2 linked regions of the Diceros bicornis minor genome follow. The protein of the gene in region 1 interacts with the protein of each later gene in a pairwise test. Links are inferred from orthologs where the notes say so. Each region holds a gene or a part of one and is shown on either strand. Other genes may lie near its edges.

Region 1 (3,911 bases):
GCTTTTAGGGTGCATATTTCCATGAGTTGCAATTCACAAATAGTCTCTCAGCCGTTCAAAGGATATTTGGATATAATATTTTCTCTCTGTTAACCCAACTTAACTTCCTTCCTCAGTTTACGCCCATAATGATTTCATGGTCTGCCTCGATAGTGCTACTTAATTATGAACAAGGTCTAGAGTAAATGACACAATTCAGATTTTCCTTTGTAAACCCTGACAGATAAGCACAATGCATTATCACCACCATCTTACACTTCACTCCAGCAGAGACTGAAGGCCATGAAGGGTAATGGCTACTGGCTCTGTCGATACATAGAGAATCAGAAGTCTAAGCATCAACCTGGTGTTTTGACAAATGTATTTTCTAATTTCTGTCAATGAAATCCAAGAAATGTAACCAGAACCAATGTTGCCACCTCCCACCAAGGGCCACCACCCACTCTTTGAATTACCTTCCTCCAGTTCATCCATGCTTCCGATTTTCCTGGCTCCATCAATGGTGTAAATGTAACGCACTCCCTGAGGCAGGTTGATGTTGTCAGACAGAGATCGAGTCAGGTCAGCCAGCAAGGCGTCGAAGCTGCGAAAACGGTCAGAGGACACAGCGTACACAATCCCCTTGAAGTAGCGGTCCCCATTGCGGTAGAAACGTACCTTCTTGGCTTTCTTCTCGTTGCTCAGTGCCTGCAAGGTTCTGGTTCGGTAGAAGCTACAATGGGCGCTGTGAGTGGGGCTAGGGAGCCCATTCATCCGTGAGCCTCGCATGTTCCTGGATGTCTTATCTCTTTCGTCAAAATGTCCAAAATCAAGTTCCATATTTTGGTGGAACCTCAGAGACCTGAGTGTTGTAGAAAGGGGCGGGGGAGAGTGAAAAGAGGCAAAGAAAAAGGAGTGAGGAGGAAAAAAAACGAAAGGAATTCAAATATTAGCTAGATCCAGATCTGCAATCTGCTGCTTGTGAAAAGAACTGGTTGAAAAAAGCCCGTGACCCATCTGCTGCTTGCCCCTGACCTGCAGGAATATTGATCTTAATAGAGAAGAAGGAGGGGCTAGGGGGGTGCTATTGGTTGTGGGGGTTGGGGGTGAGTGATAGGGAAGGAGGCACTTTTGGCACTGTTCCAAACAGAGGAGCAGGAGGAATTTTGAAATAGCTTAAAATCTTGGGACTTACTGACAGTGGCTCCTATCAAATTGTGACTTCGGGCTAAATACATTAAAACTGGCATCTGTTTCCTCGCACATGCCCACATGGCTAACAGTTGTAAATGAATCCATAGCCTGACAAAATTCTCCTTGAAGAGAACAGAAGGAGCTAGCCAACGTTAGCATCTCCAGTTTAGGAAGCAATCTTTGCCTCTCAGTAAAATGACTATGAAGGCGAGTGTTTTAATTTTATTCCAAATCCTTTTTTCTACTCTAATGTGTGTGTCCCCTCCCCCCAGAATAAACTAGGATTCTCCTTTAAAGGGACAGCCTCCAGGGAATAGCCAGCATCTTTGTGCTATTCACCAAACCCTTTCCCCCACCAAGCTGGTGCAGCTATCCAACATTCATAAGCAATAAGCTGAAAAAAAGGATTAGAAAAATCCGTTAGTTAACAAGTTGTTAGCTCTGCTTTCCCCCGTTACCATTTGGTCACAAAATCATTTTCTTTTCTTTCCTTTTTTTTTTTTAGGCACTCGATTCCTCCCCACTGATGCAGCCGCACCTCTTAATGGAATAATTTAATTGTCGAAAGATTCCTAAATGAGTTCCTGAACAGCATATGGGACCTTTAGAAGCAAGCACACCTTTCATTGTTCTGCACTTCTACCCTGACTGAGGGGGCATTTTGCCCTCACGGCAGGCAATTCACCCCAAACTTCTGTATTGCCCAGGTGCATTGGCTGAAGCAAAAGATGGTCATCTGTCAGATTTGCTTTCCCCCCTTCTGCTGAGCCAAAAAAAAAAGAAAAAAAATCAAAACATGAAACCAAATGCAACAGAAGCTCCAAATGCTAGCAAAGGTAGTGACAGCCTAGGAACCAAACTATTAACATGCATCTCACAGATGGGGATAAAAGGACTCACAAAGAAAGCAGGGCTCAGCTGCTACACATTGCCACATTGAGATATTTGCAAGGGACCAGGAGGACAAAGGAGGACTGGTGCCTAGTCGCTTTGCCAGGCTTGGTCCCCCTTTTCTTCCAATGTCACCATGACCTGTGCTGAGCTCAGCGTTGTCTCTGTCAGACAACCTGCAGTGGTGAGAGACCCCACCTCCTCAAGACAAGTAGGAAGCATTTCCCCAGGCATGCCAGTAAAGCTCGGCTTTGCTTTAGGATCAGGGGTGGTGTTATTCTAAATCAACATCACGGTAAAAACAAAGCAACACCAAACTCACTTTTCCAAAGGAAAATCCCAGGAAGAGGCTTAGGAAAAAATCCGATAGAATAAGGCAAAGGGGGAAAAAAAAAAAAAAAAGGAGAAGCAGAGAAAGAGAGAGAGCGTGCACTTTGCCTTGTGCTTTTCCCGTTTGACATCTGTTACATTCTGCCTGAAAATCACTTGAAAGCCCCACTCACCGGTTTTCTGCTGGTTGGGTGGAGATGCTGAGAGAAAGAAAACCAATCTCTCTATGCCTTTGTTGTCTGAGCTCCAAGCAAGAAATTCCTGCCAGGGTGGATAGATGCCTTCTAGGTCCTAGTGCCTTGTCTAGTTCTCCCCTATAACTCAGGTTTAGTGAATCCCCCAACCTCCTATGATTAATTACACTCTTTTTTTTTTTTTTCAACTCACAGGCTGCGTTAACAGCTAGAAAGGTTTCATTTATAACCAACAGGAAATTGCAGGGTAGCAAAAAGATTGCACAGGCAAGTTCAGAATGCTCTACTGAGCAATGTGCTAGCCTTTTCTTTTAGGGAATTGGCAATTTCACTTGGCCAAACAAAACCTTGGCCTAATCTGCCTGGGGGCCAGACTCAGACAGTCAAACCAGTCTTCTTAGAAATTCTAGCTCTCTTCCTTTCACCTTCTTGAAAGAAAACAATCAAATCTGCAAATTCTTTAAGGCATTTTAATTCATGCATCCAACTGGATGTTTTTGAAATGAAATCAGTGGAGTAGACTAAGAGGGAGTAGGAAACTGACGAGATAAGGGAAAAGAGTTCCAGAATTTCATGGAAGGTGGAGCTGCAAAAGAATCCTAAAGACCTTTTAGCTTGGTATAATAACTTGGTTAATGGGATATGCAACGTTTCAAAACCAACCCAGAGACCTTTCTAGGTGAAGTAAGTCTGATGGCTACAAGATAAATATTAATGGCTCTCTCCTCAAACTACCTATTTGTTACCAATTTGCTTCTTTATATCCAATAGGTTATAATAAGAGCAAGGAAGCATCCAAATTGAATTCATTAAATCAAACCGAACTATAAGACAAAAGAAGAGAAAAGTGAGAGACTAGAGTAGAGGTGCGCTCCCACCCTCACAACTGAGGCTACAGCCATTAAAATGTAGCAATCTTAAACTATCATGGTTCCATTTTTCGCTAATAGCATGCTCAGTAATTACCTCGTATCTGATTCCTAGTACAATTAACCCTCTTTTTTATATATAGCTGTTGATGATTTATAGTTAAACACTTTTCTGTGCATGTGTTTTACTGTAAGCTGCCTCAAAGTGGAAGGTGTTGGCTCAGCAAAGCCTAAGCTATCTATGATAGTTGAGTGGTCAGCCTCAAGTGTGAAACCTGCTCAGTCAAGTCCTCTGAACACCTTGTTGCTGCTCTCCTAGTTTCTAAATAAGTAGCTCAGGGGACTACATGCTTCTGCCCTGTTCTCTTCCATTTGTTTCTGCCTCATATTGTGGCCAGCTCTTGAAAAATCAGGGTTTTTTAGATCAGAGGCAGAGAAATATCAATGAACAGGA
Region 2 (3,911 bases), on another chromosome or scaffold:
GTTTAAGGAAACAAAACACTATATTTGTTAATTTCCATTTATATAAGGAAAAAATTTCACTTCTGATAGGATTCCTTTCTATAACAAACTTTCTTCCGAGTACAAAGGCAAATTTGGAAAATTAATTAGTTAAAATTACAATGAATTAATTGGGTACAAAAGTCTCTCAAGTGTATCAAGTTTCATTAAATCTAAGATGCCAATGATTATAAAATGCAATATTATTTCACGTAACATTAGGAAAGAAAAAAAGTTGCTAATTAAGCTGGGGCATAATGCTAATTTATGGCATCCTGTCTTCAAGATTAAAATGTGAACAAAATGTGGTTTAGAATCCAGGAAATACTGGAACCTTAAACACTTTCAAATATGTTAGAAGATCAGAAGGAAAATTACCTACAGATAAAATAATCTTGGATACTAAGACAGTAATCTGTTTATGCCTACTATACTACAATAAAGTCATACTCCAACACAATTCCTAATCTGTTTGAGCTGTCAGAAATATAAATCAAAGCTTTCAGCAAATGTACGTAGAATTAATCAAATGAAAGTCACCCCCCAAAATTGAATGCTCAGAGTAAAGCCACTACTCAGTGATGAAAACAACTGTAAAGAGCAATAGTTCACTCAGAAACAGCTGGTCTTTCAGATATGAGAAGTTCACACTTAGACAAAACCTGCAGTGTAGTGTTACATTCCACTCCACCTGCTACACTAACACAAACTGGCTTTACTAGACAACATCTATATTTGAGAAGTGTTAAGTACAGTAAAAGAGAAATCATACACTTAAAACTGACAGAGGGGAAAAGTATTTGTTTACAACAAATTTACATTTAAAAAAAAATTGAAAGTTAACATGGAATCAATACCTTGGGTTTTTCTTTTCCCTTTCCAAGAAGAAATTGAGGCAGATTCAAGATTCTGTGCCAGCACTACAGCATGCTCTGTCATATCTCACTGTACACAAGATATTTTAAAGTCTTACCCACAATCAAGAACTCCAGTTCAATATAATTCATGCTAAGTACTTTAAATACTAAAACACTACATGCATTTTGTAGCCAAGTGATCTTTTTAAATACTTCAACTAGTGATGATCTTGTGCCAAAGTCTCTTTTGACAGCACTGATCCCTAAATTTAGAAAAACACCCCACTATAAGATGCTCTTCTTCCAAATTTCATCACTTTCAGAATTTTCCTAGAGACATCTCAATTATCCAGAATACAGCTTGCCAGTATCCCCAACCAACTATACTATGTTTTGATACAATTTTTAGGAGAAAAAAAAGCAAATCAAAAAATAAGTCGACTTCAGGACTCTTTAAAAAAAAAGTCCTGGCTCATTCATTCAGCAAAACCCAAGGGCCCAGAACAGGTCCCCAACCAGTGAGCCTTACCTGGCAGGTTACCAAGCTAGCTGCGGTGGCCAGGCCAGTCTTCCCAAGTTTGCTGGGATTTCCAGAGCGGGTTAAAGCAATCGTGGTAGGCCTGCCCTTGGTTTAGGGGCGTTTCTCTAAAATTCTCTTTCTCCTCCCCCGACCTGGTCTCTTCCCTCCGCCTCGGCTCTTGTAGCTTATTGCCAACCACCCTCACCACGGAAATCGCAATACTTCAGCAAATGAAAAGGAAACGAAGAGGAACCCAGCCCACCTTTTTTAAAGATCTAAGACACAAGGGCCCATACAAGGATGACAAACCATCAAAGACGACTAAGGCACAGCACTCTCTTCAACCTCTAAAGAAAGATCCCAATGTATGTAATATCTTCTACTTACTACAATTGAAAAGTATATTAACATATTTTGAAAAATTTTTGTTTCAGTTCTTGAAGGTGAAGGGTTTCTTCTATTCATTCTAATTATCCAGAACCCGAGCATACCACTTGGTCATCAAGACTTTACCTCAAAATTTTTCTCCCAATGAAATATTTAGGTGTGTCTCCTATTCAGAAATCAGCTTCTACAGTGCCCTCCACTACGCCAGAATTACCAATAACCTCTTTGGGAAGGAAGGAACTAACCTTCAACCCCCGGTACTCCACTGCCTTATGTACCGATGCACAACCCTGCCCGGCCTCCACACAAGGGACGGGCGGGAATGGCTGCGCCTCACCCCTGCACCCCCACGGCTCCCCGCCCGAGGCCCGTCGGTAGCGGGCAGTCAATAAACGCCCATCAACACTTCAGTCCTCGGACAAGTCCGGGCATTCCAAAACCCTGGCGCCACCCCTCCGCGGCGGCCACCGGTTCCCGATGCCTGGCTGCCTCGGCCTCACTCTGGTGATGAAACCTCGTCGCTCAAGGAGACCCAGGCTGGGGGCATGGGAGCCACCCGCCCCCATCCCGCAGCGGGACAGAGCCTCTCTTCACCGCGACAGGCTGCTGGTCCGCAGGCCTTTCCACCCCATCCCAGGAACCAACATCGCCCGCCCGCGGACCCGAGGGGGCCGAAGCCCCCGCCCCAGCCGGCAGGCAGACAGCCTGGCGTCGGGTCACGGGGGACGCCTGCGCAGAAGAACCCGCCGGGCCCCTCCGCCACGAAGGGTAACAATACCCCTCGTTAAGACAGGCAGGGCAGGCTGCGGACGACACCGGCACGCGTCCGCGCGCGACCCGAAACGTGACCCTGCCCCCGCCGCCCGCCCCGAGGCCCCGGAGCGCGACCGTCTCCACAGGAGCGCGCCCGCGCGCGCCACCGCCGCTCGCGCTGACAGACTCGCCTCACCTGAGCCGGGCTCCACCCCCCTTCTCGCTGGAGGAGGTGGTGACCCTTCTCCGACCCGACCCGACAGTGTCGGGAGCGGGGACGTCCAGGCTGGCGTCTCCGTGATGGGATTTCCTCCCCCTTCCGCCCACCTCCCCCCCCGCCCCCGGCCACCCCGCCTCTGTCCCCCAGCTCCTTCAGCCCGCTCGCCGCCGCACTCCGAGAACACCGCGGCAGCGGCCGACAGTAAACGGAAGTGACGCAACGCGAGATCGCCTACTCCTCCATTCCTCCGCCCCTCCGGCCGAGCTGCAACCAATCAGCAAGGGAGGGGGCGTGGCCGGGGCAGAAACGCAGCCAGCCGGCGCTCGGAATCCGGGGGTATTTGCTCGGCCCCCGGAACACTGACCAATCCACGGTCCCAGGAGCCTCCCTGTGTTTACTACCGACCGAATCCGCGAGCGCTGTGACCAATCACCGTTTGCCGTACAACACAAAACTGTCATCGAACGCCTCTTAAGGCGGGATTTATCACACCGGGTTTGGACTATACACGAGCGACTGTGTGCCGCCACCGATCAAACCCCGTTCTGGCTGAGGCAAGCGGGTTTTCCGCCTAAGTCCCCCAATCAGAATCACGGCTGCCTGAGGTCTGCGCGAGCCTGGAGGCGGGCCCCAGAGCAGTGCGTCCCACCAGTGGCTGGACCTGGAGGGTTTCCCCACCGTCGGCGCCCGGCCCTGCGGTGACCCCCGGCTCCCGGTCCCAGCGAGCTTTCTTCGGGGAGCCGGCACACGCACTCGGGTAGAGGTTCTGTTGCGACCTCGTAGACTTTGGAAAAAATTAAGTAAAATTCCAAGACGCTGTTTGTGTTGAATTAAGCCAAAATCCAGGCTACAAAAGGTGAACCCAAAACGCCGTCCGTCTGACGGCAGTTGGGTCCGCTCCGCCGCGCTTCCAGTCCCAGTGGCGGCGTCCCGAGGCGCCGGCGCCTGAGGAGTCTGACGGGCGGGCCCCGGCTCCCAGGCGGCGCGTCACTCCGCGTTCGGCGCCGCGGGTCTAACGAGCCTGCAGGCTCGAGAACCAAGCCTCCAAGACCACGTTGGAAACGTGGGGGGGTCGCGGACCTCGGTGGGACGCCGGCGAAAAGAGCAGGCTCCGCGGCGGCTCTGGCTCCCGGGTGCACGCTCCGTGGGAGAGCAT

Evidence for each region.
Region 2: the proteins of DCX (region 1) and ZBTB5 interact in binary tests that used the Homo sapiens proteins (3 or more experiments, as listed by UniProt). The two-hybrid records come from large-scale screens. The link is inferred for Diceros bicornis minor from reciprocal best matches to the Homo sapiens genes DCX and ZBTB5.

The regions. Positions count from the first base shown.
Region 1 is NC_080781.1:103,378,820-103,382,730, forward strand, and holds the start of DCX (neuronal migration protein doublecortin), read right to left. Parts: upstream 2,618-3,911; 5' UTR 2,568-2,617; intron 2,450-2,567; exon of another isoform or gene 2,387-2,449; intron 842-2,386; 5' UTR 820-841; coding exon 456-819; intron 1-455. UniProt on the Homo sapiens protein: Microtubule-associated protein required for initial steps of neuronal dispersion and cortex lamination during cerebral cortex development. May act by competing with the putative neuronal protein kinase DCLK1 in binding to a target protein.
Region 2 is NC_080767.1:6,499,576-6,503,486, reverse strand, and holds the start of ZBTB5 (zinc finger and BTB domain-containing protein 5), read right to left. Parts: upstream 2,815-3,911; 5' UTR 2,732-2,814; intron 2,627-2,731; exon of another isoform or gene 2,028-2,626; intron 2,022-2,027; exon of another isoform or gene 1,405-2,021; intron 1-1,404. UniProt on the Homo sapiens protein: May be involved in transcriptional regulation.